Astyanax mexicanus: one gene and its partners. The protein of the gene in region 2 interacts with the protein of the main gene of each other region in a biochemical or structural test. Links are inferred from orthologs where the notes say so. Each region holds a gene or a part of one and is shown on either strand. Other genes may lie near its edges. The genes, in order: ago2, trinucleotide repeat-containing gene 6A protein and cnot1.

What was found.
Region 1: the proteins of trinucleotide repeat-containing gene 6A protein (region 2) and ago2 form a complex in vitro, tested with the Homo sapiens proteins (2 studies listed by BioGRID). The link is inferred for Astyanax mexicanus from reciprocal best matches to the Homo sapiens genes TNRC6A and AGO2.
Region 3: the proteins of trinucleotide repeat-containing gene 6A protein (region 2) and cnot1 form a complex in vitro, tested with the Homo sapiens proteins (2 studies listed by BioGRID). The link is inferred for Astyanax mexicanus from reciprocal best matches to the Homo sapiens genes TNRC6A and CNOT1.

Annotation. Positions count from the first base shown.
Region 1 is NC_064410.1:49,162,002-49,172,142, reverse strand, and holds the start of ago2 (protein argonaute-2), read right to left. Parts: upstream 4,678-10,141; 5' UTR 4,273-4,677; coding exon 4,248-4,272; intron 1,857-4,247; coding exon 1,809-1,856; intron 614-1,808; coding exon 433-613; intron 345-432; coding exon 224-344; intron 74-223; coding exon 1-73. Other genes in the region: homeobox protein Dlx5a, read left to right, coding at 8,386-8,737, 9,355-9,539.
Region 2 is NC_064426.1:13,557,757-13,568,502, reverse strand, and holds the start of trinucleotide repeat-containing gene 6A protein, read right to left. Parts: upstream 4,581-10,746; 5' UTR 4,419-4,580; intron 453-4,418; 5' UTR 408-452; exon of another isoform or gene 403-407; intron 1-402.
Region 3 is NC_064417.1:4,143,771-4,154,294, forward strand, and holds the start of cnot1 (CCR4-NOT transcription complex subunit 1), read right to left. Parts: upstream 6,168-10,524; 5' UTR 6,033-6,167; exon of another isoform or gene 5,980-6,032; intron 2,458-5,979; 5' UTR 2,263-2,457; coding exon 2,161-2,262; intron 1,794-2,160; coding exon 1,686-1,793; intron 1,018-1,685; coding exon 919-1,017; intron 759-918; coding exon 690-758; intron 598-689; coding exon 543-597; intron 404-542; coding exon 200-403; intron 1-199.

The DNA of each region.
Region 1 (10,141 bases), on a different chromosome or scaffold from region 2:
AGGACACCCACTTTATGGCCACTTTAAAGCTTCTGTCCTTTCCTTCTCCAGGGATAGTCACCTCCAGCTCCACCTACAACAGCATCACAAGTCAAGAATCCTTACCAAGAACCAGGAATCTGTATTTGACATTTACCTGATGGCTGTAGTTATGTAGCCTATTGCTAGAGTGTTTAGATGCATGTGCACATTTAGAGATCCTTTAAAACAAAAAATCACTCACCTTGTCTCTCCCTATAGGTAAGGGCATTGCTGTGTACAGGTTTTTCCTCCCGTCATACACAGGCTTTCGATCTCCAAAGATCTGTGTTTTAAAGTGCTGGACCATGTGCTCAACAATTTCACTGCAAACAAACAGTACAGAATTTAGTTTGAAATTGATTTGTCACTACGGTTTAATCCTTAGGCATGAGACATAAATGTGAGTGTTACCGGTTGACCCTCCGTGGGCATTTCTCTGGTTTGATGTCAATATCATAATGGTACATCTCCAGCTTGGGGATTTCCATCTCAAAGAAGTTGGCCTGCAATTTGATTGTCCTGCCCATGGTGCCAAAGTCTGGCCTCTGAGGTGGTTTGAACACATACTCGTGTGATGGAGGAGATGGAGGAGCTGTTGGGACAAACACAAAAGTATATGAAACTGGAGGAGTTGTGCCTTCTTCAAATCTAGCTTTAACAAAATTAGATTGTAAAAAGGAATTATAGTCACTCTAAAAGACTAGAAGCTAATATTTGGTGATAAGCAAAGAATGGCTTTTTCAACTTGAACATTCTGTTAACTGAGTAATAGGGCTGTTGGACTGACAGAAAAATAACACCCCAAATCAATATAGATTATATAAATATTCAAACCTGTCAGAAAAGAAATGTTTTTATCAAAATTTTCTGAGAGTACTGCAAGTAAAAAAAATACATTTTAAGTTTAAAAATAACTATTTTGCATTATGTGCGAAAAATACATAAACAAATTGGTAATACTTTGTTTTGCAACTGTATTGACAGTTTTACTTTAAAATTAAAAGGTTACCTGCAAAAGATTAAGATCTAATAGTTTGTGTGTTTTGTTTAAACCTCAACCACAGTGTTGCTTTCAGATCTCACTGTTTATATCATACCTATTTGACAATGTCCAAAAATAATACGATGAAAAAAAACTCCACATTACACTGTTTGTTGGAAGGAGCATTCAAAACCAAAGAACTGCAGATAAACTTTAATCAGAACGTTCTTTTGGGTTTTAGATCACTAGTTATTCTTCTGCAAGTTACTAAATAATTAACAGTATTTACTAAAACAAACAGCAAACAAACAAAAACATTAAATTCTCCCTTTGCTTTCATATAAATAAAATATTTTTTACCTAAAGCAAACAATACATGGGCTAAAAACAACATACATATTTAGAGTGTTATTCTGCAAGGTTTTCTACAAGATTAATTATTATAGTGCCAAATTTTCATACTAAACAAGTAGGAACATTTCAAAATATTCTAAACACTAAAACAGATTCTACTGTGACACTAACTGATGGCCTGTGATGCGTTGCCTAAACTGTGCTGTGTTGTTCCAAAATTTTAAAACATACAGATATATCAGGCCCACCTTGTCATTGTCTGATGCTCAATATTAAATAACTTATATTTGGATTATAGCACAATTCCCCACAATTGAGTGGGGCGTCACAATTCGCTTATGCCACAGGTATGAACATTTTCTTTATGCAGCAAAGAAAAATACATTTGATTAAACTGAATAAAAAACTGAAATTAGCCTGCACAATGAACCTTTGAGTCATGGTTGCTTACCAGAATCTACTGATCGCGAAGAGGTAAGGCCCTCACACATCTCAGCAACTACCAAAAACAAAATTACATTTTTATATTTTTTATTTACACAGCCCCCCAGACAAACTTGAGATACTGTGGAGTCAATTACACAAGACATTAAACAGGCTTGTGGACATTTCTACAAAATAAGTTTGTGTGACAATGTCATGATCCCCTTATCAGAGAGTCGAATAAGTCTATAGAGTCTAACTTCTAGTGATTCAAATGATTTACAAATGAGTATGTATTAAGTCTAGCCATTTGCACAAGACTATAAATGACTTTTGTTTGTCACAATGATGTGCTTTAGCTGCTAGATTCTCAAAAATGCCTCAACCAAGCTTATCAAAACCAAAAATGTGTCACGTTTCAAAGATAGGAAAGAGCAGGTCCCATCCTGATCTGTGCTGCAGACTCTCTCACCCCTTTATCAACAAGACCACACCAGCGACTTAACAGCCTGGCTGTCTACCCCACCTACACAACAGCACTGGCCCTGTTCCCAACATGCAAGGGCAAAGAAGATATTTGTAGTTACTTTGAATGGGTTTCTCACACTCAGGTTAAGTCTAAGACCAGACTTAATAAGATGTAGAAGTTTAGTCCTAAAAATAATTGGCCTTTGAACTACGCTCACATGTTAGAAGAACTCAAACAAATTCAATTTTGTGTTGACCTGCTACTTACAGTAAAACTAATGTGAGCATAATCAATATGCACCAGTTGAGACAAGAATTGAGGTTGGCTTGTTCTTACATGGGGAAAAAAAACAAATATATTCTTGTATTAACAATTTGTAGACACTAGTGAAACTACAACCAGCTGGACCAGGCTAACCAGCTACCTAATGGGGATCACTGAATCAGCTGTCTGGCGTTAATTCTCCTTACAGATTACCTTTGGTAGAAAAAGATTCAAAATAAATTCTAGTACCTAGCTTGTTTTAACTGTCCAAACAATATTTACTGAAAACTTGTATTTTAATTTGGGGTAGGGCTGGAAGGTTAATTAAAATAATTGACTTGTTTTTGCTCTTAATTAATTTTCTGTGGGATAATCAAGATTGTACATATTTACATATAGAAGCTGCCAGAAGAAATCTTAGCAGATAGACATTTCCTTAACTGACCAAAAAAGACGTTATATTTGAACCATGTTTCATACTAAAACATTTTGAAATTAAAGGTAAAGGAAAAAATAGCTTGTGTATCACTTTAAATTGAAAGATCTAAAATCTAAATAGAGAATCCCTCATATATTTGAAGAATATTGAGAATCATTGTTTCACAAAATCCCCCAGAAATAGTTTGGGGCAAAAACTTTCACCTAAAAACATCAGAACCTCTGCATTAAAATGGTGTACTCGACTGGTGTACTAAGTTAAATACTTCTTAACTAGCTTTACACATCAGGGGTAGAAATGCACAGTAAAAATAAATTAGATTAAGAAATATATAACTAGCTTTACCTGACCATTGAAACTGTAGTTAGCTAGGTTACAGTGAGGAAAGGACACATAGCAAAGCTAGCTAAACCTAACCCTAATTATTATATCTAGTTAACTGGTGCAAACGAGAAGCCATAAACGGTTTTTATATAATTAACTTAGTGTTTCTAACATATATATTTTCCTTTTAATATAAAGCAAGGTGATCTGCTAACACTGTTTACTGATTGGTGTACTACATAACTTACTTCCTAGGTAAGTTAGCTGTACAGATCACATTAGGCAGAAAAGCACAGCAAAATAAAACGTAACCTAATTAGACTAAGAGAGAAATAACCTGTGATAGACCTATTTAACTAGATTAGTAAATCACTAAGCTAGCTTTAACTGACCACTGAAACTATAGTTAGTTAACTAACTACAGCTATCTTAGCTAGGGTTAACTAGTTTAAACTACAGATAACGTAATAAGATAACTTAGCTAAGCTAACTTAATTAGTACAAACGACAAACTACAGTTTGTGTAGTCGGCGTAGCTATGTAAAATTATGTAACGCTATCTCAATCTAGCTAGGTTAGCTAGAAACTTTGTTTGTTAGCTTAGCTTACTTAGCTATCTTAGCTAAGCTAACACCACCACTTGCCAGCCTCGTTAGCTAACCAGTCACAAGCGCAGACAGCGAGCTAGCCTAGCCTAGCTTAGCATTAGCCGTCTAGCTAACAATAACATAGCACGGCCTAGCTCACTAAACAGGCGGATTTATCAGCCAGGAGCTCTCAAACACTACAGATTAATAATTTAATCTATTACAAATGTTTATAATCTAAATCTTCTAAATACCAGGCCACAGATAGGCGGTGTTTTCAGACAGCAGATACAAATCTACAGCCTGTAGTTAGCTAACGCTAGCTATGTGGGTAGGCTTAGCTTTAATTCAGTAGCTTTAGTTAAGCTAGCTTACGATACTCACCCCCAGCTGCTCCGCTCGGATACATTTTGGCGAGTTCTTGTGCTTTTAAACAGACCTCGCCGCTCGCACCGCGCTCACTTTCGCTTCCCGACCGCGGTGAAGTGCATACGAGAACGGGATAGTTAGACTGCGGTGCAAAACGGCTGTTTAATCTCAGATTTCGGAGGATAAAACGCGGTTTTAGGCGAGTGCTGGGCTGAAGTAGCTCCGCGGGTCCCGCTGCCTCCGTCCCTCCTCCTCCCCCATCACCAGCAGCACCACCACCACAACCGCACCATCCGCCTGCCCGCCGCTCCGGTGTTCTGAAAACCCGCGCAAAAACTACACCACAGCGCTTACTAAGAGCTAATAAAATATAGAGAGTAAAAAATTATGTTTTAAATATTAAAATAGCACGTTTATAAAAATGCAAAGCGACCGAAAATTAATAAAAACAAGTAAACACTTGCGCGAAGCTGTGCGTCACTTCCGAGCCTTCAGAGACTCTCTAAAGAGGAGAATACCCACTGAAATATCCTAACCAACAACCTCTTCACTGTTTATCAGCCCACCAGTGGGCGCTCCTGACTGAGCGCTAAATTAATGGGTTCATATGGAGCAATTGAGCAAAATCATAGTTTATAACATTGTATGTTGCTAACTCTGTCTCAGACCCCACTCTTCTGATTGCAGAAAAGTAAAATCTTCTTTTTTTATTATCAGCTTTCGGCAGCTGATGGCAAGCTGCATGACCGGGATTCGAATCAGCGATAATGCCCACTTAATTGAGAACATCTTCAGTTTTTATTGGGCCACCATTGGACAAACCTGACCAAGATCATCTCAAATCTAATAAAATTTATTAAATAGCACTTGTATTTTGAGGTTATCACAGTGAAGGCAGTTAGAAAATTACTAGTTAGAGTTCATGTAAACTTTGATGTTCTTGGTAGTGGGGAGTGAGCTACTACTGTGGTGAGTGACAGGGAAGCCTGACTTCCAGGGACTTCCACCAGTCTGGCCGGACAGGTGACAGGAGACCCTGAGAGTTGAACATCCGTCGGTATCAGGCCGGATAGGTGGGCAGTCAGTAACTCGGAGGAAGGCAGAAAGATGGAATTTATGGAGAAAAGACAATATGCAACATTATCAGAGTGTGGCTAATGGCTGTGTCAGATCTGAGTATAACAGCATGAATAAAGGGAGAGAGCCAGAAGGTAACATAGACACAAAGGCACCCTGAAACAATGGCATCCACCCACCCCACAGTCCACAAACCTGAGTGATCGCATGCAGTGGTCAAGACATCATGAAAGCCAAAATATGCAATCTTATCTAAAGGGAAACATTAATTACCAAAAGCTAAACTAATCAAGTACGTTTTTAGTCTAGACTTAAAGATGGAGAAGGTGTCCCAAACATTTTTGGGAAGATTATTCCAGAGTTAGGGGGTTTTAATGAACAACTAGAGAATTTAATGAACAACTAGAGACCAGCAGTTTGTGATCTGAGTAATCATGATGGTTTCTAATAGGAGATGAGGTCTGGCAAATGGGTTTCTATAGAGCAATTGAGCAAAATCATAGTTTGTAAATGTTTGAACATGTTTACACTGAAAAATGAATTCATTTATTCATCAACACAGACATACATAGAATGTTTCAGCACATTTTTTTTTAAAGTTTTTAAACTCCAGTTATAAACCCTTTAAACGTGCTCTGGTTGTATTTTCACTCTCCAGAATCAGCTTACCAACCAGTCAGCACACAGTATAGTAATGCTAGTGTCTCTTTTGTCCAAAAACAGAAAAATGGAAAAATTGTTTTTTTTTTTTTTTTTTGCGAAATACTTCCACATACTTTCTGAAAGTAAATTAATAACATGGACAAGTAGTTCATTATTATTTTTAATTTAAGTTTAACCGTTTAGCTTCATTTACTCTCATTTATTAAGGACTCCCTCTCAGGCTCCCTCTAGTGGTGTGCGCTCATTTTTTTGCTGTAAAGGTTTTGTACAGGAAGTGGGTAAGCTCTCCATAAAGAGGCTCTGCAACAATTAAATTAGGCTGCAAGCAGAACAGTTTTGTAAGCTTTTAACTCATTATAGTTTGAACCATCTAACCACGTTTAAAACAAACTTACCAATTATTAAATAAAATAAACAAATTACACCCTGCATAGCTGATTTTAACTTTAATAATACATTTATATTTTTTTTAATTATTTTTTTAATAATCTAAACCATGATAGAACAAACAATTGTCCATATACTTTGATTTAAATGTTAAACATATTATTCAAGTAATTAAAATTTAAACTTAGAATATGTATTTGTCTGGTGCATGTAATGCATGGATAGTCCACCAGGGAGCAGCATGTGAAAGCATGTGTCAAAATTATTTTGTTATTTATCTAATTGTTTAATCAGAAATTTATAAAAACACAAAAACACAAAACACTTCTTTCAAAAATTATATTTTATTTGCATTTACTATTAAGTAGTTTTTCTTATTTTAATAAATTTACTATTTTTTTTTACTAATATCTGAAATCATTCACATTAAAAAGTAAAGTAAGAAAGTAACAGTAAAAAAACTGGTAACTCCTTACACTCTGTTAAAAAGTTAAAAATCTTACTAAAGTCATTTCAAATTTAGAAGTCTGTGTGCAGAAAGTATTTATGTATTTTTTTTATTATTATTAATATTATTATTGTTATAATAATAACAATAATAATAATAATAATAATAATTATTATTATTATTATTATTATTATTATTATTATTATTATACATAAAATATTTAAAAGTACAGATTATTATTATTTAAATTATCATTTACACCACCCGCAGCATCCGCAAAGCAACCAGCATTGTGAATGTCCCCACTCATCCCTCACACGAACTGTTCTCCCTCCTGCCTTCGGGAAGGAGGTACCGCAGCATCCGGTCCAGCACGACCAGATTCTGCAACAGCTTCTACCCCCAAGCCATCAGACTCCTCAACTGCAGAGACTGAACTGATGGTTTTTCTGTACATGCACACACACTCTTACCCCACTTACCCCAGAAAATGGAAAGCACTAAAAACCCTACTACCTCACTGGACTCTATTGCACACTGTGTAATAGAGGTAATTACTACCTCACTGGTCTTTTTTGCACACTTTTTGCACACTGCATAATTTGCACACTGTCTTGTTATTTATTATTCTTTGTCTGTATTGTGTTGTATTGTCTGTCTGCACTTTTGTACTGTTGCACTATTGTTCTGTCTACACTGTGTTTATGTGCACCATGGTCCCTGGAGGAACGTTGTTTCGTTTCACTGTGTACTCTGTATATAGCTGAAATGACAATAAAAACCACTTTGACTTTGACTATTATATCTCCACCACGCGGTGGCGCCACTTTACCGTTAGTAAATCAATACTATCTTACTTGGCGTCTGATTTAACAACGTGACTGTATTTATTTTTCTTTTTACATGTAAATCATTTTCTATTAGCTTGTAATCCGTAATGAAGCGCCCTGAGAAATTTAAAACGATGTGGATTCATTAACTAAAAGGGCAACGTGTGTAACAATAAAGAGGCAAATCCGGGCTTTTGATTTAAACTATATTAAGGCTTATATGATGTAAACGTAAAATAATGTGATTGAGCCTGTAAATGTTTTACTGCTTTAAAAAAAATGTGTTTGTGTAGTGTAGGACTGAACGAAAGGGTAGAAACATGTAGATTCATTTATATGTATGCTAAGACTTATTTGAAAAGCGTTTGGTTTGTACTTTACACGCAGCATGGCTCTGTTAATCCTTTTTTTAACGTTAAAAAGAAAGAAAATGTCGTCTCTAGCCCATTGACTGTTTATAAATCCGCTGTATAGTTGCTCCCGTCAGGCCGCAGTGTTTTGCTCAGTGCGTTAGGGAGTAGCTGTAGTGCGCGTCGTGGCCAATGGAGCTGGATCCTCCCTGCAGTGCGTAACGGCGCCCTTCACGATTTAACCAAGTGTTTGCTGCAGGGCTTCCAGCAGTCTTCAGGAGCAGAGCGAGCACACACCATGCGAGTGTAAACTTCAGAGACCTGCACAGAGCTACAGCCGCTGCCTACTGCACACACACATACACACACACATATATATATATTCACTCAAACAAACCATGACTGGAGTATTCGACAGGAGGATTCCCGGTACGAAAGCTACAGATTTCCAGAACGCGTTCCAGCTCTCCGCCATGCACCACCCGCCTCAGGAGTCTCCCACCTTGCCCGAGTCCACCGCCACGGACGCGGGCTACTACAGCCCGGCCGGAGCGCACCACGGCTACTGTTCTCCAAACTCGGGCTCTTATGGGAAACCTCTCAACAGCTACCCGTACCAGTACCACGGAGTCAGTGGATCCGCGGGAAATTACTCTGCCAAATCTTACCCTGACTACGGCTCTTACGGCACTTCAGCTTACCATCAGTACGGAACATATAGCAGAGTGCAGTCACAGCCCAGCCCGCAAGGTAACTATTATTATTATTATTATTATTATTATTATTATTATTATTATTATTATTATTATTATTATTATTATTAATGCTGCTATCACTTGTGTCTGTATTATATTTAACTTATTTAACCTTCGCGTTTTTATCATTATTAAACTAGAGCACTTTTATTTTGGTTCTAATGATTATTTCCTTATAAAATACGTTCATTTTTGTATCTATATATTTTAGCATTTTAATAAATAAAGCTTTGTACGCTGTGTGTTGCTAGGTTTTGTTAGATTCTTTTTTTTTTTTGTTAAATAAAAAATAAATAAGAAACGGGTAAAATTTAAATGGTCGGGCATTAAGATTAAGATTACATATAACGTAGGTAAATAACATCGAATAAACTGACTTTTTAAGTGTAGACACGTATACAGGTATATGTACATTAATTTAATCTATGTAACTTTACTATATGACCCGAATGGAAAGTGTTTACGCAGTGCGCGTTTATCGAGTTGCCTAAACCCTCTCCTTATTTACTCTGTGCGGTTCAGTTGGGTTCTACTCAGTTAGAGTTAAAGAATAGTATTTTTCTTTATTCTCTTCATCACTCATATTCCTCCTCTCTGTGTTTGGTGCGGTAGAAAAAGAGTCGGTGGAGCCGGAGGTGAGGATGGTGAACGGTAAACCGAAGAAAGTGCGGAAGCCCCGGACCATTTACTCCAGTTTCCAGCTCGCCGCGCTGCAGAGGCGCTTCCAGAACACCCAGTATCTGGCGCTGCCCGAGAGAGCCGAGCTGGCCGCTTCTCTGGGCCTCACCCAAACACAGGCACGGAAACTTCCTCTATACTCCTCTACTACATCTCACAACACAGATCTACACATTATTCTTATTCCTCTTATAATTTGTATTATCCATTATTAAATCTGTTTTCATTAAAATAGTTTATCATTATAATTACATTGTTCTTGTTGCTATTTTAGTTGCCTGGTAGTTATGTCCGTCCCTTTTAAGCCGTAATTATTAGATTATTACTGTGTATTTAACTATTACTGGTGCATAAAACTACATTAAATAGCAGTAGTTATTAATTTATAAAATATTAATGTATAATATAGACTAGCGGGATCTTTGCTTATATAGCCTTATTTATATAGTGCAAACAGATATGTTTGTATGTGTTACCTAACAGAAACAATTATTATTATTATTATTATTATTATTATTATTATTATTATTATTATTATTATTATTATTATTATTATTATTATATAATTCATACAGAATACTACAAAACATTGCTATATATTTTAGCACTGTATACGAATATTTAAGAATATACAATATTATGTTATTGTTATTCAGTTTTAGATGTATATATGGTATTACACTTGTATCTTAATATCAGAATATAACAGTTTAAGTATTAT
Region 2 (10,746 bases):
AAATAAGGCTTTTTAAATGACATTTGAGCATTTTACCCCAACCAAAGCCACAAGCCTACCATTAACACTTAAGTACTGCATTGAGAAAGTATTTTAATGACTGATGGGCTTCTTTATGAGGCTCAGGTCTAACAGAGCAGAGTCTGAACGTGAACAGAATGATGGTACAAAGAACCTCTCATTTTAATGTTTTAGAACAGCAGAGCTTACTCAGCACTTCCAACTCCTGCTTCAATTCAGATGGAAAGACTCTGCTTACACCAGCAGCTACTGCACCAAGCTGGAAACATCCAGAACTGCACAGACACACACAGACACACACAGACACACACAGACACACACAGACACACACAGACACACACAGACACACACAGACACACACAGACACACACAGACACACACCTTACCGGTGTCACTTCTGTCAAGGTCTTTGGTGGCAACAGCATCCAATTCTGTGAATTAAAGAAAAACCCAATCATTAGTTATAAATCACAACAGAATAACCCATCAAGGCCTTTTATGTTTGGATACTCATGATGGAACACCTTCCGAATCATTTAATACAATTTAAGTACAGTAAAAGAATGTTTTTGTGAAAAAAAAAAGTATCAGTTCAATCAGTCAACATGCCCAGTGTTTGACAATAAGCTTTACGTTGATCAGCTAATGTTGATAACAATGGACATTATTTTATCTACTTAAAGCTACAGAAACAAATATATTAAGAATAGCATAGACCTCAGTCAGCTTATGAACCACTGTCTGTCACCAACCTTTACATGTATCATAATTAAATCAATACTGTGTTTTGGAAAATGAATTCAGTATTGCAAAGCAACATATTGAGAGACAATGTCAATATTTTGTTACGCATCACTGGTTATGTTTACATCAAAGCTTTCCTCCAATCTGAATGAATTCATTCTGATTCTAGAATCTGACTGAGATATTTATATGTACACTTTATTCTGACACAATAGTCTGAATAAACGATTGAGCTATAAGTCTGATTATTAACAGATTATTAGGCTGCATGTAGACATAGCCACTGTGGGTGTAACCTATATTAACTACGTCTGCACCTAACACAAAATAAACAAACATGGCACCCAACCTTTTCAGTTGTGTTCACACTCTTCAGTGTGTCTTTAAGCTAGAGCTCCACAGCATTTTGTTTAATATGGTTGATTTTAAAATATAAAGCATATTTTTAGTTGAAAGACAGTGTTCGCCACATTATAGAAAACCTACAAAGACACATTACCAAGTATGCCTAAGTGTTAATGTGGTATCTAGCCCCACCCTTGATCACCCAATCAGCAATTGGTCAATTAAACTGAAAGATACACAAAAATGACAAATACACAAAACAGTCCATTTCTACTGTATGAAGTCTGAGTGCATATACATTAGCGATACTATATATTACAACACTTTCCAAATCAACAAATGAAGGGGATAAGGCCAGAAATTTTTTTTTACCACACATTTAGCTTTAATATGTTTTCATATTTTAAACCGAGGGATCTATTTTGGGCTTTTATTGTAACTTATCAGAAAACCAAAGATTGTCTGACAAACAGAGGAAACAAGTTGTTAGATGGAAAGTGTAGAACTTTGTTATGACAAGAAGAAATGCTGCAGAACCTGTTCTGACTATTCTACAGCGACCTAATTTAATTTTACTGAAATTAATCCTGTACGGTTAAACCTGCTGTGAAGCATAAATCTTACATAATATATAAAATATATTAAACAGTACATCTCAGTATTCTACTAAAAAGAGAATGCACTAGAAGTCTCAGAAAAACAAAAATTATGACAGCAGATTATATTAACTTTGCTTAATCTGAAAAGCATGCCATGATTAAATATATAAACACTGGTGACATTTAGTATCATTACACATTATTGATTATGTCCCATACTGAAGCAGATGTGATGCTAGTTTACTTAAAATGTGTATCATATTAATTATACTGAACATTGTTGCTGAACCTTTTTTCACAATATTGTGGATCTATTACTGTACAACCAAATATTGTATTGCACAGTGTAATAAGCATTGTTTAAAGCAGCAGTCCTGAAGATTTTACATTGTTTACTTTATTTTATTTTTAAAATGTCTAAGCAGGGGAGATAGCAAAATATAATAAATTGCATCAATCTGCTTTTGCTACCATTTTGGCAATGCCAAATGCATTTATTTTAAAAACAGTGTGTCTGTTAGGTCCCGGGACATTTTTCTGGCTACAAGTCTTAACTTAAGCAAATGCAGTGCTGCTAATAAGGATAATACAAGAGCTCATCATTAGAGAAAATTTATATAGATTAGAACTAAAGCAAGCTGGTGAAATAAAGGAGGGCAACAGACTCCTAACCAATCCAAATCACCAGATTCATCCACTCTGAAAAGGGAATGCACCACAATGCACACTTCAAAAGTACTTTTTAGTATGCAATTAGAAACACACAAAAACTTACAGGTCACATCTTATATATGTTTTATAATAACCACTGTACTATATATAGTTCACGTTCTTGATAGCAGAAATGAAATCCTACTACTGCATGTCAATAACAAGTGTATTGTAAAAAATACATACTGCCAACCTTATTATATTGTTCTTTGGTGGTGATTGTCTAGGATTGGACAGCACTAACAGGCACCAAAGTTAATCAATGGCAGACATGGACATCAGTAAGTGAAGTGTTTAGACAGTGTCTACATGGGAAATACCACATTGATTTTTGTAAAATCATAAAATGAACCAAATTAAACCCCTAAGGTGGTTCAACGCGATTTCATAACCAGGAGTAGGAGAGAAAATCTACAGCTACACCTCCCCCACCACAGACAAACCACGTTAAACCTGCTAACCGCTTACAGTCGCACACAACTACACAACACCCGGCTTCCATCACGAAATAACTGATTTTACTCCTGTTCTCGCAAAAAAAATAAAAAAGTATAATATTGTGGGATGACAGTTTGAATGCTGGAACCCTTACTGTTAGCTCTGCAGTGGACAAGCATTTATTTAAACGTTTTTTTTTAGCTCGCCTAGCTAAACAACACCGAATTATAATTACACATACTCACTCTCCTACATGAAGCTTACATTATACAAGATAGTACGCTTAACTCTACAACCAACACAAAATAGCTAAACTAAAACATGAGGAAAAACACTAAGGGCTTTAGCTCAGAAGCTAATATCAGCTAGCCTAGCTGCTAAGCTAACTACGTAGCTATTTAACATACGACTAAACCTAATAAGCCCACATACTATTTGCCTCAGTATCACATTTATTCGTTTATACTTAGTTAACTATTTATTTATCGGCATGCTTATGTAGATATCTGTGCTGTCAGCTACGTAACGCTAGCTAACCTGCATTAACCAAATAAAATGGCTTTCGGGGTCTGCGAAACTCTGATCTGATCTGTTGAAAACTGAGACCTAGGTTAGGTTAGTCCGCTAAGCTAGCTATTAAACAATGACCTGCTCTGTTTGTTTATAGCTCGTTAACTAGCTTGGAGCCATATATAATTTTATAGATTTAACATCGCTAAGCTAGGTTAGCGGTATAAACATAAGAATCTTTTAACACACTTCGCGTTCTTAAAAGCAAGTTATATAATAAACATATTTACAAAAGTAAGCTAATCAGTTAGCAAGGTTAACTAGTTAGTCAGTATTAAATTTAAGACCACAAAATACAGCCTTAGCAAACAAGATAACCACTTCGCATTTAGAGTCATTATTAAATAACTAGCTAAAGACTTATTTGTATCACTTATAAACTATTGTGTAGCTAGCTTAGATTTGTAACGAGGCAGAAACTCAAAAACATAACTGGCTAACGCTAGCTAGCTAAAGGTTAACGTTAGGTCTATTATTTATAACTCAAATCTTACGCCATTTTGTTCTGTAACATAAGCATGTAGTTGGACGAATATTTAAACTCAAATGTAAGAGCATTATCCAACGAATAATCAATTAGCTTTTTAATATCCAACAGCGTTAGAGGTTACAGCTGGGCTTCGCTTTTATAATTTTTCCGGTCCACCTTAAACGGAAAAGCAGCTCGCTAGCTTCATACGGGCACTTCAGACTATATAGTGTATCAGTGCCGCACCATTTAAGGTGGAACTGAACAACTCTAATAGGAGGTCCAACTTCGGCGTCGTAGTTCTGGCTTTTGAAGCCGCTTGACTAAGACGTTTCTGCAACACGCCGCCCGCAAAACACACATTACCCAAATGCACCGCGCTGTTTATGTTTATCACGGTTTTAACGGTCCCTGTAAACAACAGACGCCACCACGCGCAGCTCCACTCGAGCCCTTCGACTCCGCCGCGCGCTACATTACAGCAAACTGCGCCAAACAGCGAAAAGCGCGTTCAGCCTCACCTGTGTAGATTAAAGTGCGATGAGTAAAGTGTGGTGAAAGGCCTTCAGTGGATCAGCGATGAGTGTATTATTGATCTTTAAACCCGAGCTCGCGCTTAGCTCTCCTGCAGGATCACCGCTCCGCCCGCGCGGACATTTTCTCTCTCACTGCGCGCTCCCGCAGGAAGAGCTCAGCGGCGCGCGCGGCTGCCACTTCCGCTACGAAATGGCGCCACGGCGCAGAGCAGCAGGCGCATATCAGGAACATAAACAAACAAAATCCAGTTCAGCTCAATAATAACAGCTATACAACTAAAAAAACAAACAACTTAACACTAGTGATCTATCTACAGCGGTATGAAAAAGTTTGTGCACCTTCATTTTGATGATTTTCATTTTTAAATCATTGGTGTTCAGATCAGCAATTTCAGTTAAATTCATCATATAGGAGACAAACACAGTGATATTTAAGTTTATAGGATTTACAAAAAAAAATTACAATAATTATTTAAACAAAATAAGGCAGGTGCATACATTTGGGCACCCTTGTTGTTTTAGTGATTTGAATAGCTTTATCTCTAATAATTGAAACACTTGGCCAATTGCAAGTTTTTTTCCTTTTTGCATCTTCTCTGAAAAGTGGAAAAATGGGAGCCTCAAAACAACTCTTAAATGACCTGAAAACAAAGATTGTTCAACATCATGGTTTAGGGGAAGCATACAAAAAGCTCTGTCAGAGATTTCAGCTGTCAGTTACCCCTGTGAGGAACATAGTGAGGAAATGGAAGACCACACGCACAGTTCTAGTTAAGGCCTGAAGTGGCAGACCAAGAAACATCTCAGATAAGCAGAAGGATGTTGAGAATAGTCATAGTCAATCCACAGACCAGCTCCAGAGATTTCATTCTGTGGGGCAGTGTGATCAGTGCAGGTACTGGGAATCTTGTTAAAGTTGAGGGGTGCATTATTCCAGTCAATATCAGCAGATTATTAAGAACAATGTTCACAGATCAGGAACGAAGCTGAAGCTGTGCTGGGGCTGGATACTTCAACTTGACAACGACCCTAAACACTGCTCAAAGTCTATTAAAGCACTCATACAGAGGAACAAGTAGAACTTTTTGGATAACTCAAAGATCTTCAAATTGGATATTTACTGCACGGGTGATTATGTTTCAGCTGACAAGTTATTGAATTCTAACTAATGCAATGAGAAGCTTTTCATTTGTTAAACTCATTTTGTGTCCTTGAAAATATGTTTGTCTGTTTCAGAAGAGTCAAATTATCCGAAAATATTAAATTATGGTAATTGGCGATCACTTTAACTTTGTGGTACAAAAACAATACCAGAGATATGTTTAAAAGTGAAGGTAAGAGCATTTTCACAAGCACAATGTGAAGGGAATTCAAGGGATTGGGGCTAATCAGCTGTGTAGCTTTAAGATAACCACTTACCAGTGAGACTAATCGACAAAAACAACTTCAATTTGCTAAGGAGCATAAAGATTGGAATCTGGAGCGATGGAAGGAGAACATGTGCTTTGAGGAATCATGATTTACCCTGTTCTAGAGTGATGGGTGCATCAGGGTTCGGAAAGAGGTGGCTAAAGTAATGCACCCATCATAGTGCATGTCACAGAATCCAGACCTGAACCTTATTGAGAATTTTTGGGATGTGCCGGAGAAGACTTTGCACAGTGGTCAAAATCTCCCATCATCAATACCAGATCTTGGGGAAAACTATTGTTGTAACATTGCAGAGGTGTGTGGAAAAAATGCGATAGAGTACAGTATGCATACTGTAATTTAATCAAAGCTAAAGGAATCCATGTATTTATTTATCTCAGTCCATCTCTTTGCAAGCTGTTTGTTTTTTTTATTTATAGTGATCAAGCTACATTTCAGCAAATTACAAAAGCAGTATGAATGTTTCAAACAGCATATAGATAAATTCAACAGAGTAAATAAATGGCAGCTCTGAAACAAAATGTGCATTCATACTCTGACTGCTGTGTGAAGCATTTTAGACAAAATTCACTTTTAAAATGATTTCAGAAGCTGTGTATAGATACCCTCTTCTTTAAACAAAAGTTCCCTCAGGTATTTCTGCTCCCAGCTGCCTGTGATGCTGTATCTGTTTGCTTACATCCGTAAATGTGTTTAGCTCTGTGCAGCAGTCTGCTATGAATGCTGGCCAAATAGAAAGAGTTTAGCCGTCTGTGGACTGAGAAAACCCTAAACAAATCAGGAACAATGTAAACACTGTCCGGTCTGCCCGCAGGAATGTGCCTACGCTTTCACTTTGTACACAAAGCACCAGCACACGGGCAAAAACTGACCTGCAGCCTCCACTCTGGGGGCCTTTTAAAGACAGTCATTCTGCCTCATTGGACACTGCACAAACACACGCACACACAAATACACCATACAATTCAAGCTAATTACTGTCAAATATTTCCTTATTGGAAACCCATTTAATATAGTCATTTAGCCTAAACTATACAGCCTACAGTAGCCTACATATACAGCCTTAGCCATTGAACCTATCGCAGATTAGTCCCAGCAATTTGGCCTACAACATTTTATTCCTGTGTGATTAAAGCTCATACTGTAGCACATAAGAGTAGCAGAATAAAATGAACAAGAACATATTTATTTACCACAGAATGTGATAGAGGCGAGTTTTGAAAAGCCCATTCATTTTGCTATAGACAAATACAGCTTAGACACAAACCCCCAAGTGTTGGAAATTCCCTGGGAGCAGGTAAACTACATAGACCATAATTCTTTGCAGCAGGATAAGGCGGGGCTTAGAGGTTAAAATGGCACTGTCGGCCATTTTTTTATTTCTTTGTTTGGCATGGTCTGAGAATTTGAACCTCTTTTGGATTGTGGACTGAGCTTCCAATGGATGTGTGTTTGTGTAAGTTTTCTGATTTATTACTTAATTCATTTATGTTAACTTGTCCAATTTGATTGTGATTGGGTTTATTGTTTGCTCACTTGGTTTGTTGTTCCTTTTGTTGCACTATTTGTATTGTTTTACTGATCCTTGTATTTTGTTTATTTGTAGATAAAACCATCCATCCTGTGTATCCATCCTGTAGATACAACCATCCTGTATAATCTCTCCATTCTCCCTACATCATCTTCCTTCCTCCATCCATCCTTTCCTCAGCCATGCATTAACTGTCCATTCATGCACCTGCTCTGCCTCATTGTGAAATATGCTGTGACTCTGAGAATAAACTGCATCAGTTGAAGTCTGTTCATCCTCCTGTGTTTTAATGGACACACCATCACGCCAGCCACCCTTCCACTAAATGCAATCCAACTAAACTTTACATGGTGCCGAAACCCGGGATTGGCAGTTATGATGGATACAGATCAAGAGAACAGACGATCCACACGGCAGAGAAGGCCTCCAACCCATCTTCAGCAATATCACGTCGAGTCAGTGGGCTTTGGAAAGCCACAGGAACCCTGCACCACTAATCCAAGGCCTTTAGCTACCTATCTTAAACCTGGAGGTAGAGGGATCCCGAATCCTGCCTCAGCACAACAACAATCTGACCTCAAGGAACTACATACTAGGTATGCAGCCTGAAAGAGACAATAAAACTACTTGATCGTATGGGATCCCTGCATATTTGTAACAGGGACTCTGAATCAGTAAATGTTTCTGAAGATTGCATTAGCTCTGATGATGACTTTGATGTTGATTACTCCCAACCTGTACAAAGACCTCACAGTTGTGTAGAATTTCAATGTTCTATACCTGAAGAGAACAGAGCTAGAAGTTCATGTTCAGCCCCATCTAGATTAGCTTTACCCCATCCTGCCTCCCAATCTAGTTCTTTACAGCCTCAGCCTTTGATTGCACCCCAGTCTAGTGTTGTGCCTACTCATAATCCCCAGCCTAGGCCTCAGCCCCTTCAACCTTATCCTGCCTTTCCATCTAGTTCTGTACAGCCTCAGGTTTCCTCTCAGTCTGGTGTTTTTCCTCCTCATATCACTCAGTCTAGCTCCCAGTCCAGCTCCCAGCCTCCTCAGCCTTATCCTGCCTCCCCATCTAGTTATTTACAGTCTCAGCCCCAGGCCCAACTCTATTATCTGTGCATGCAAGATCTCAATCCTGCCCATACTGTAAAAGTCAGGAGCATAGCTTGACATACTGTTCCCAAGTTGGACTACTAAGCCCAAGTAATTTGAAGGAATGGATTAGAAGCAACGGATTATGTTGGCGATGTGCAAAACACCATCAAGCTGAGGAATGTAACCTTAAGAAACCCTGCCCAAAATGTCAGGGTCCACACCTTGGTGTTCTTCATGAAGCAAACAGGAAAACGGATGATTTAGTCCCTCAGCATTCGTCCTCCAAGGTACTCTACCTGAACCCATCAAGCTATTCCCCCAAAGTGCTTCTGAAGATGGTAAAGGTCATTCTGAGTTACAAAGGTCAGTCTTGCCATGCATATGCTCTTCTTGATGATGGTTCAGAACGAACATTGATCTTGTCACAAGCTGTAGACACATTACAACTTGAAGGAACTCCTGAAGTTTTGGAGCTTCACACCATTCGGCAAGGTATTGAACAAATACAAGGCTCATCTGTAACATTCAATATTGCAGCAGCAGATAATCCATCTGAGCAATATGTAATCAAGGGAGCGTTCACATCCTCAAATCTTGCTTTGACTGAGCATAGCTATCCAATGAGCTATTTCAAAAGGTACTACCAACATCTGGAAGATCTTCCCCTGCCAGATTTTGACAATGCCATGCCAATGCTACTCATCGGAGCAGACAACACTTACCTGATAACTGCCATAGAAGAGGTGAGGGCTGGACCCCCTGGAACCCCTGTGGCCATTCACACACGATTGGGATGGACCCTGCAAGGACCAACTTACCTACACAAGGTAAAAAGCAAAGTCCAATGTATGCATGTTTCCACATCTTCCTCTGCTGAACTCATGCACAATGTTGAGAAATTGTGGCAAGTTGATGTCCTGCCCTATCAAAATGAACGAGAGGTCACACGATGTAAACAGGACACACGAGCCCTGGCCATGCTGGAAGAGAAATCTGACAGTCAAAATGGATGGTGTTCAACGTCACTCAACTCCCCTTTTGTGGAAAGATGAAATGCCTACCATTAAATCTGGAAAGGAAGCTGTATTCTCATTGCTTCATAGCACAGAACGAAGACTGCAAAATGATCCATGTTTGACTGCGGTCTATGCCAAAGAGATCACAAGATTAAAAGAAGGTTATATTTCTTTAGTGTCCCCAGAACAAGAAGCTAAGTCCAATGCATCCTGGTACATTCCTCATCATTTAGTAGAACATAACCAAAAATATTGCATTGTTTTCAACTTTTCCTTCTCACAAAGATTACATTCTAAACTCCTTCCAGGACCTATCCTTGGTCCTACATTAATTGGTGTACTCCTCAGATTTCGTGAACATCCTGTTGCAATCAGTGGCGATATCAAGGCAATGTTCCACCAGATCAGACTCCTTCCTGAAGACAGACCATTCACTAGATTTCTCTGGTGTGAGCAGATGACTGAAGCTCCTTCAACCTACGAATGGCAAGTACTACCCTTTGGGACAACCTGCAGTCCTTGTTGTGCTGTTTATACACTCCAAACTCATGTCAGAAACCACCCTCAAGCAGACAAAGACATTGTAGACACAGTCTTGCAGTCTTTCTATGTAGACAATTGTTTGCAGTCCTTGAAAGATTCAAAACAAGCTAAAGAACTCATCGCAAGGATCAGAACAATCTTGGCTGAAGGTGGCTTTGACATCTGTCAGTGGGCTAGCAATGATTCAGCAGTGATTGATGAACTCCCACTGGAAGCTCTGGCAACCAGCACAATTCAACTTTTGAATCAAGATGCTAACAATCCACTTGAAGGAACGCTTGGATTAACCTGGGACTGCACTTCTGACACTCTCGGTTATAAGTACCGTCCAGTGAAATACCACACTTTAACAATGAGGAATGTGTACAAAGTACTGGGCACCCAATACGACCCATTAGGTTACCTAAGTCCTTTCATCACTCGAGCCAAAATCATTCTCCAAAAATTGTGGTCAAAAAAGAGAGAATGGGATGACCCTCTCCTACCAGATTCCTTGCAACAATCCTGGCAGGAATGGGAAGAACTACCAAGTCTGCATAACATTCATTTTCCTAGATGGTATGGAACAAGTGATCAAGCAAGTGAACTGCATGTCTTCTGTGATTCTTCAGAACAAGCATATGGTTCTGTAGCTTACATCAGAACAAAAAATGCTCAAGGTGACATCCACATATCCTTTCTCATGGCAAGATCCA
Region 3 (10,524 bases), on a different chromosome or scaffold from region 2:
TAAGCTAAAAAACATCCAGTTTTGTGAGATGACCCTTAAAAAAAACAATAAATAAAAAAAAAAACAACAAAAAAATAAACATCTGGGGCAAGATTTACTGCAATTGAAAGTACACTTAAATTTAGGTCCCCAGGAGCTTCAAGTGAACTGAAGGAAAGACACGTTCCTCACATTAGCACAGTGGTGGCGTGTTCAGTACCTCTGCACAGTGTTTTGAGAAAGGCGTCGATCTGCTCCTGCCCGACTCCACTGGAACCCTTTTGCCCAAACAGGAGGTGTGAGAGCAGCAGGTGCAGAGCCTCTATGGCAATGTCCTGGAAGCCACCTTCCTGGCTCCCTCCGAGGTCCGCGTCCACGTATGAGCGCAGAAGGTCTGGCAGCTTCTGTTTCACAAACTGAGCAGCTGCCAGAGTACAGAGAGACAGTTAAAACAAGCTTATGATACCTTCGACCACAATATTAGGGGACTTACCACAAATGTAACACAACGTTTTTGTTTTTTTTTAACATACACTGAAACTGCATCAGATAAGAACGCTTACCGAATCCTCGGAGGTCTGAGTTACTGGAGTTCAGAAGAGCAAGGCCAAAAATTACCTAGTCCAAAAGAGAATGGGTTAATTGACAAGTTCACAAACTAACCAATAATGAAAGTTCAGTATTATAGTGCTTCCTAGTTTTTTACTTACCTCCTGAACCTTGCTTAGCTTGAGAACTTTACTCAGTTGAGGAAACAAGTGCGGTGATGGCTTCAAACTCTGTCAGACAGACGGATGGAAGAGGAGAGAAATTGGGGGAAGTAGGAAGAAAAAGAAAGACAGAAAACAGAAAAAAGAAACAGAAAAAATAAGATTAGGAACTAAATAAAAGTTGACCTTGTGTTTATTTGACATAGCTTTCAAGGCAAACTACACAAACCTTCTGATAGTGCAGAGGATTGTCAATGGCGTAGCAGAGAGTCGAAATAAAATTTGGCTTTGTGATAAGTGACACACACTCCTGGATCAGAAACTGTGTCTAACAGAAGAAAATCGATTAAAGCACAAAAAGCAATACATTTTCTTTAAATGATACACAAGAATCAGTAAAGAGTGAAACAGTCAATAATAACTGTGCTATAATGCATACATTACAGCCTACTGTGGACAAATATGTAACATACAGAAGCACGGAAAGTTAAAATAAAAGATTATACTACAGCTGGTCCTGAGAATGTCAGGAAAATTGTACAAGTTAAATAACTTAAAATATATAAAAATAGATATTTTCAGGCCTAAAGTTTCTTGCAACTCTACAGCATGTTAGCATAAAGGTTTGCAGTATTAATAAGAATAGCAATCTTAGTGTACAATTTCAAATTCCCAAATTAAAGTACATGACATTAAACTGCAAACAATTCAACAAATATTCCCCTAAAGCTTCAATAGTACATATTTTAATTCAGTAAACAATAGAAAATAGAAAATAATAGAAAATAATGCTATTACTACAATATGGGTGTTTTTAATCACTATATTACAATGTTACGACATATACAATACAATTTAATACAACATGTTATAGCCCTACTTAGCAGTAAATCCATGAGCACTGAGTGGAAAGACATTCCTGTACCAATCAAACCAGAAATGAAAGAATAAACATTAAAAAAAAAAATCTAACTAGCAAATAAATAAAAAAGGTACCTGGTGGAAATCTTTCCCACTGCTTTTACCATCGCCACTGAAATCCACATGGGAAAAGAGACAGCGTAATAGATGCCTGTCTGCCTCAGGGCCGTGACGATTCACAATCTGAGATATAGGGAGAGTGAGAGTGTGTTCCATGCCCATCAAGTAAGTGTGACCTTCACAGCCCTAACACTTATTACATCTGTGAATGACATACTGCACTGACTGCGATAAAGTAATCCACAACTGAGATTATTTGGCTTTAACATGTCCCTAAAGCCTTATAGACAAAAAATAAATAAATAAATAAAAAAAAATAAAAAACACAATGGCTGTCTGTAAGATATTGTGATGCTAACAAAACATTAACATTACATGTTTTTGTAAAATATCTTAAAAGATTAAAGCATAAACAGTATAAATTAATGTAGAAAACATGGCTCCATTATTGATCTTCATAATCAACATCAACAGCTTAACAGAAACTCACATGCTGTATTTCTTGCTGGCTGGCTCTGTAGTTTTTCTTAGTTAAATTGTCCACCAGGTAGCTGATTTGAGACAAAGCCAGCGAGAGCGAGTCAAGATTCATTGCTGGTTGGGGCGGAAGCAGGCGGCCGAGCACGGCGCAAAATCACCATTATTCCCCTTTAGTCACTTCGGTGATAGGTTACTTCTGCTCCCCCCCCTCCCCAGGTGTGTAATTGTCCGTGTGTCCAACAAGTGGCTTCTGTCGGTGGATCCTGATTCAAAATACGGTCCCTTACTGCAACTTCAAGAATGACATCTACAAATGAAGAAAAAGAAAGAAATATTAACATCTAGAAAGGGAATGACAGACCTGCAACACGGAAAGAAAGTTTAAAAAATCTTACAAATAATTTTAAAATGGTCCATTTTATAGGTGAACAGCAACTAGATCAAATTACTGAGATACAAAATTGATAAATGTATTTTACGATTATTAAAACAGTAAAATTCCATTAGAATACAGGTGGTAACGTGCTACAAATATCACGCTAATGTCTTTTTTTTGTTTTGCATATTCTTTAACAATGACGATGTCCACAATATGATTAGAAAAGGCAAATTTCCTGACAATTTTTTTTTTACTAGCTTTGTGACTGATCATGCCAGGCCTATAGGTTTCAAAGTATGCATGTACAAAAATCTGAAGTTTATATGCTGACATACTTGGAAGACCTACTCCCACAGCAATTTTACAAGTTAACCTGCAACACTATACGTTTTTGTAGTTTGTAGTTCTGTAGTTACTGTGAGAAGTCAAACTGCTTGTAAACACGTATGCATGTAAACTACTTAATTCACCGCTGCTTAACCTGCCATGGTAAAAAACAGCAATAAAACCTAGTTTCAGTTCTTTGGTTTCTACTAAAACCACAACTTTGGCAGCAGCAGAAGTATAGAGAAAGAGAAACTTAAGGGTGCATGCAGCTGCATACCCGGAAGCCATGGCAATTCTACAGTTAGGTATTGGTCTTTAGATTAGATTGGTCTAGAAAGTACAATTTCAAAAGGAGATAAAGCTACAGTCAACAAGCAACTGTGTAAACACAACTTACTTAATCAGTTATTTTACTTACAATAGAGCGGTTCGTGCGTACAAACACACTCTGGGACACACAGATGCGAGTAGTCATTTACAGTACAAACCAAAACACGGTAAACTCGAACCATTGCTTGTCAACAAGGTGTCTAAACCCTCTTAGCTGTATAGGCAAGGCTATATGTAATAATAACATTATCGAGTTCATTTGGCAAGAAGAGCCCATTAAACATTAATTTCCATTGTTACAAATCTTATATGTCACAACAAATATCTAAATATTTCCTAATTAAAAGTCTGTGGCTGTTTAAAAATAAATGTTTATTTTATCAGTGTTAAGAAATTGTCATACGAATCAAATGTTCAATGATTTATTTTTGGCACAATATTTGTGAAAGACCTACTGTATGAAATTTAGAAGCAAGACCTGCTTTACTATTTACCTCTACATCAATAAAATGTATAAATCCTTTGTCAAAAATCTGTCCAGGAATCAATGAGGCCACTGCTATTCCATTCCTAAGACATCCTTAATGTTTTAGTTACCACTTTATTCCACCTCAAAAACAAGAAATGACTAAAAGGCACCCAATTTCGACAATTTTGGAGAATTTATTGAGAAAGGAGACAACCCAGGTGAATATAGTGTTAAACTGATATGTTAAACCATATCAGTAGTCAATTCATTCATTCCCCAGACTGACTAGCAGATAGCTAAACCTAGCTTGCTTGGTTCCTGCAATCTTAATTTAGTTTATCCACATTTAAAAGATTGTAAAACCACGAGTAAGGAAGTAAATAAACTAAATCTTAGCTTTACAAAATAGTTAGCCATAAGAGGAAAATTCTACTGCAGACTGAAATAAACAGCAGCCAGCTAGCTAGCTTGCAGGCTAACATGCTAAGGTAACAGCTGCATCATCTCCTATAAGGCTAGCTAACGTAGCTACTTAAATATGATGCGTCTAACAATGGTGAATACGCCAAATAAACCTGATTTATTCCGATAATTACAATAACAACATATTTTAAAACCTGCTGCCTGCACATTTTAGTGCTTTTTCCTGCTATTTCAACCGTCAGAACTGACTGGTGGAAGCTAGCTACCATTTTAGCTAGCTAAAATAGAAGATGCATTATCCTGTAATAACCATATACTAAGCGTCCAGTGCTTTCTCAAACACAATCTTCTGGAATCAACCGTTTATTTATTTGTTTAGCCAGATGGTGCTTACAGTCAACCCCAAGAAGTAAATGGTAGCAGCTAGTTAGCAAGTTAACCCAACATGCTAAAGCAGCAGCTGCCTCGTCTTATAATAAATTTAGATTTGTTTTTTTTAACGGCACACGAGTGTTTTTTTACAAAATAAATCTTCTGGAGTCCAGCGTGTCTACATATTTGTGCTTTCCCTGCCCTAATACAACGTTTTCAACTTTAAGAAGAGCTTAGTGGCTGGTCTAGTGGTGAGTAGGAAAACACCAATTTGCGCAAAGTAACGTTACAGTGAATTACTACAATCCACTGATTTAAGCTAGCTAGCTAACTTACCACTTATCAAATAGCTATAGGTTAGCTAATTTGTATGTTTAGCTAGACTAGCACAGCTAAATGTTTATTCATAAAGTGCCTGTCTAGATGATCTAACCTATTTAGCTAGCTAGTTATCTAACCTACTGCCTAACCTGGTTAAAGTTCACGTCAGCCAGAAGACCCTTCTCAACTTCAGAAAAACCTTTGTTTCCAAACTGAGCTAGCCAACCAGCTCTGTTCACCTGCTAAAAAAGCGTCAGAGAACTACAGCTCAAGGCCTCAGTTTCACATCTGTTTATTTTTAATATCCCCGACGAATAATCCATCATATTAAGAGTTTAACAGCTAGCTAATCTCGTTATGTTAGCTAGCCACCTTCTATGGTTATCCTCTGGAGAAACGGAAAACATATCGGTCCACTGCAGACAGGGCCTTCAGCTAGTTAGCTAACCCAGCTAACTAAGCTAGCTAACGCTAAGCTAATGCTGGAGCCTTGAACCATTAAGAGACCATTAGTGCTAGCTAGCAAGCTTGAGAGCATAACATTACTAGCTAGCTTAGCTAGTTAACACACATGCCATGAATGCTGGCTATAGTTTCGCTTGTGTTTTGTTTTTGTAAATTATACGATTTAAAAAAATATTTCAATCACAATTTGAGCAGTTTATTTCGTGTGTAAATGAGTTAAATTATGTTAAAAAGCTCAGAAGTAACTAGATGACTGTAAACCTAAGCTTGTGTTCTGGGCCTCAGCTAGCTTAGCTATCGAAGCTAAGCTAGCTAAATACAGTAAAACTTGAGTAACGTGAATAATGTTATCTAGCTAGTAATTATAATTTTATTATATCTATAAAAAATATCTGATATTTATAAGTTGTGTTCACATTTAAACAGAGTGAAAGACAGCTAACTAAAAGGAGTGATCTGTAGTTAAGTGATAAACACGCTAGAGTTGGTAGGTATTAGCTAGCTAACCGCTAGCCTAGTTCCGTGTATCTGCTGCAGTGCTCTCAGACCGCGATGTTGCGTGAATCCGCCCCCGCCTGCCTCGCTCCGCTGAGCGGCTGTAGAGAAGCAGGCTAGCCGGGCTGACTGCGCGTTGACGGTAGATTAGCACTCGGCTAACACAGCAGCGCCGCACGATAACAAGACTAATCTAACGTCCGCGAGCGGAACCCAAAACGAGAGCAGAGCTGAAACGCGTACGTTACCTCCGTTCACACAAACTACGCGCCGCTGATCGTGTGTATTTTCTCTCTCTTACGTTTCTCGGCTCGGTCTGCTCTGGTGAAAGGTCGCTTTCCTCCCCGGTGCTGTTCGCTTTTTCGAAAATAAAATGGCGACTATCATAGCTCGCGCGCACCCAGCGGCGCTGCTCTTCTTATTAGCGACGTCCTGACTCGCGCACGAATCGGCTCGTTTGAACCGATCTTCGTGAATCAAATACGTAGAGCTGATTCAAAAGCTAACTGTGTTCGGAATGGTTCACTTATTAACACATTCACTATTCACTATTCACTAGATACAATATACAGCTCTGAAAAAATTAAGAGACCACTTACAAATGATGAGTTTCTTTAATTTTACAAAATTGAAAATCTCTGGAATATAATCAAGAGAAAGATGGATGATCACAAGCCATCAAACCAAGCTGAACTGCTTGAATTTTTCCAGGAGTACCAGGAGTAAAGCAGCATAAAGTTATCCAAAAGCAGTGTGTAAGACTGGTGGAGGAGAACATGATGTCAAGCTGCATTAAACTGTGATTAAAAATCACTAAATATTGATTTCTGAACTCTTAAAACTTTATAGGTATGAACTTGTTTTATTTGCATTAATTAAGGTCTAAAAGCTCTGCATCTTTGTTGTTATTTCAGCCATTTTTCCCAAATTCTTAATTGATATGTTGTAATTTAGAGCACTTATTTGCAGAAAATGAGTGCTCTATTTAATGAGTGCTGTATTTCAGAATGCTTGGGGTGTAGTGAAACATGATGTACATGGACGAGTACAAACGTTTGTCGAATAGTCCTGTTCCATTTACCCCAAGCATTCTGAAATACAGCACTTGCTTCAACTTACAATGCTAGCAATAGGGACATAGAATTACCTATGCAAAGAAATCTATATTTTTACACCATTAAGCTCAAAGTCAAAATTTTGACTTGTACTGTATAATAGCATTATGATATAACAATGTAATTACACCCGTTAAAGAGCAGTGCACTTAAAATTAATATAAATATCAGATATTGTGACTGGAATATAAAAAAGTCAAAATATTCTAAATAAATAAAAACTTAATAAAACCAATAAATTAAGTCAATATTTGTGTTAATGAGATCTCCTCCCTAGCTAAATAAATACAATGCCTAATTTGAAGTCACATAAAATTATTAAAGTGAAAATGAAATTGTTGAGACAGGGTCATCTGTGGGGCAGTGGAACTGTTCTCTGGAATAATGGTGCTCATATTCTATTATTATTGTAATATTATTCTTATTACAATTTTTTTGGAATAAGTTTGGGGGTTTGGAGATGGGGTGTGATGGTCAACTTACATTCCTTCATTGAATCATATTTAAAGACAAATTATAAATATGCAGAGTGTTTAATTTAGAGGATAAAGACAGGCTAATAATTTAAAAATAAATGATAATGGTTTTGTTTATTAAGATACAATAACAAAATAACTGGAACGCAGGGGAAAAAACAAAATGAGAAAAAAAGGAAATGTGTGATGATACCATATAGGTTATTACCACATACATATATAACATAAAATATATTTTACATTTTAGATCAATTGATAAGTAAAAATAATCAATAGGTATTGATTTGAGAATCAGTGACTCACTGAATTGAACATTTGATTCATTGAATCAGACAGTTGGAAAGAATCGGTTTAAATCGAACCGAATCACTAGTTCGTATGGTCGTGCCCGATGCGCGCAGCACAACAACCTATCAGATGACGAAAAAATATGACAAACAATTCTGTCAGTTATAGCATTTTATTAAAATATGCATAACTTTTTCAAACAATATTTGCACATAAAAACAGCATAATCATCTATATAGCTGTAACTTGTGTGGGTAAAGTAGGTCATTATTATTATAGAACATTATGAATATTTCTTAAGGTAAAAAAAAATATGGGAATTTATGGGATTATTTGTCCTTTGGTACAAGCAGCATTTGCAATACAGGGAGGCTTTTCACCTTTAATTTAAAACTTTGTAATGCAGTATATCTTAATGCACTTAAAAATAAATTATGAAATATTTTTAGTAGTAGTACAAATTTATACTTAGACCTGAGTGCAAATAATAATAATACACACTCCTAAACACACCTGGGTGCAAAAATCCTGTGCCAAATAATATTCTTTCATCAAACATGGTCTTCAGCAACAGTCCAAATGTCTGAAAACAAAAAAAAAACTCATGCCCATAAAAAAGGGAAGGCTCCAGGACTTTCAGTTTGCAGTTTCTACAGTGTGCATGCAGAAGTTAAGGGGAACTGTGGAAATCTGGAAGCACAAGAACACTGAGAAAGGAGTTTATATGCTGGTAATATCAACAAAACCACCAACTGAGTGACAAGAACCTGCATAGAAGTTTATTTGCACGAAGAGGGTGGAGCACTGTTCTATTGTGCAGTGTTGTTTGTTCAAACATAATCGTATTGAAGAGTCGTAAAAAAATACTAAGCCTGTGACCTCCAAGTCAGTGCTTAAAGTATGTATACCACACAACACAGGTTCATTAGGAAAATGGTAGAAGGCTGTGAAGCATGGGGGTGGATACTTCAAGTTAAGGTTTAGGTTTAGCAAAACTGGCAATATTGCACAGTTAGAGAGAAGAACATTTTTTCTACAGAATACCAGCACGTCCTGGATGCAAATTGTCCCAGAACATGCTATTATTACACAGGTAGATAAACAATCTGTGCAGCAAGATTACTTAATAATACCTTTATAAAGAACAGTTGAAGTTCCCAAATGGCTTTATTTTAGTATCATTTAATATAGCTAAAAAAATAGCAAGCACACAGGATCACAATAAGTTCTCTGTTTTTGCAAGATAACTTGTCAAGAACGATCTTCCCCCCAAAAGTCATTGTTCACAGTTTTAGGCTACGTTTACATTACCAGGCTGAAGTGATTTAAATCAAATTGTTTGCACAATGTGGCTCAGATCAGATTTTTTTCACGGCTGTGTGAACGTATAAATTCCGATTTTTTCAAATCAGATTCATGCGTCTTTTTGCTTTTACACGTTAGCATTAGCGCTACGTGCTTCTCTCTCGTACCCACACATCTCTTGGTGCAGCTGTGCAGCTATAGCTAATAAAACAGCAAAAGCAAACCGCCTGGCCTTTTCTCACCTCCTGGACCTGAGCATGAACTTCAGAGCAGCTGTTTACTCTCCACTCCAGCAAAAGATGCTCCACATATGAGCTGCTAACTCATTATTTAATGTGGCTTGTAATGTGAACGTAGCCTTAAACTAGTTTTTTTTTTTGTCTAGTTAGGAAAATACACATGCTTATAAACAAATAAAAACTAATCTGCATTAGCCATTTCCTCTGGATAAAAACACACATTTCACATTAGTCCTTGCATGAGCACAGCTCTCAGTGCAGAGTGTGCTAAGAAAGGCTTTCGTAAAAGCAAATCCACACTGACCAGAAGGATTTGTTCACTCATAAATCTTTTAATATGTACAGGCCGCATTGTACAGCTGAAATCTCCTATTCAAAAGATCCAATGCAATTTGTAACAGTGTGACGAGAAATATCTGGCACAGAATAAGGTAAAGAAAAAACAAACATTCATAATTCAGAGCATCAAATCTAGGGAAGTACACACTATGACCAACAACACTTCCATTTGGTGTAAAACTGACAGCAAGAAAGGAAAAAAAAAAAAAAAAAAAAGAGAACAGAGAATGCCAAATAAATACTGTACAAGTTAAAGTACTGCATGATACAAGCCCTGCCTGCAGGCCAGTAACATTGTTATGACATGTTATGAAAGTTTGCAGAGATGTTTACCAATGTGGAGCAAAGTAGTGTGTGTGTGTGTGTGTATGTGTGTGTGTGTTACAGCTACATAATTATGTAGGCAGAGCTTGTTTAGTGCAGGATTTATGTAGAAGTTGGCTGATACACACCCCTTAATCAAACAAAACATCATCCCAAAATACATATGCATGATATGCACTTTAGCCTGCATATACATATATGTCAGACAATATAGATATAGCACCATAATAAAATCAGGGTGAGGGTGAGGGTGGAGGATGTTATGAAGGACATGAAGTTAAAGCCCCAGGCAGGTTTTGATGCAACTGGAATTCGACACCATTCTGGACAACCCTGCGAGTCCTGGGTTTTATATCTGAGGTGGTTGAGGCTGCTCTTCAGGATGCAGTCAAACAGGTTCAGGACTATTATAGGAAGGGGTGTTGAGACAAAGACAAGCACTCTGCAGTGGTGGGGATGGGGTGGAGAAACTCTTTCCTTTGTTTAGAAGATAACACCAAAGCTGTATGGAGATAAATTAGTGCAAGCACATTAAACCTCACCAGGCAAACTTCATACAAACACACCAAACAAAATCGTCAGAACGTCAAATCTAACCCTGAACCTGTTGAACAGTCTTCCAAATTAAATAATGTTTGTTTTCCTGCAGTTCCAAGTCCATATAAATAACAGAATATCAAAAGTTTTTTTTTTTTTTTTAAACAGTC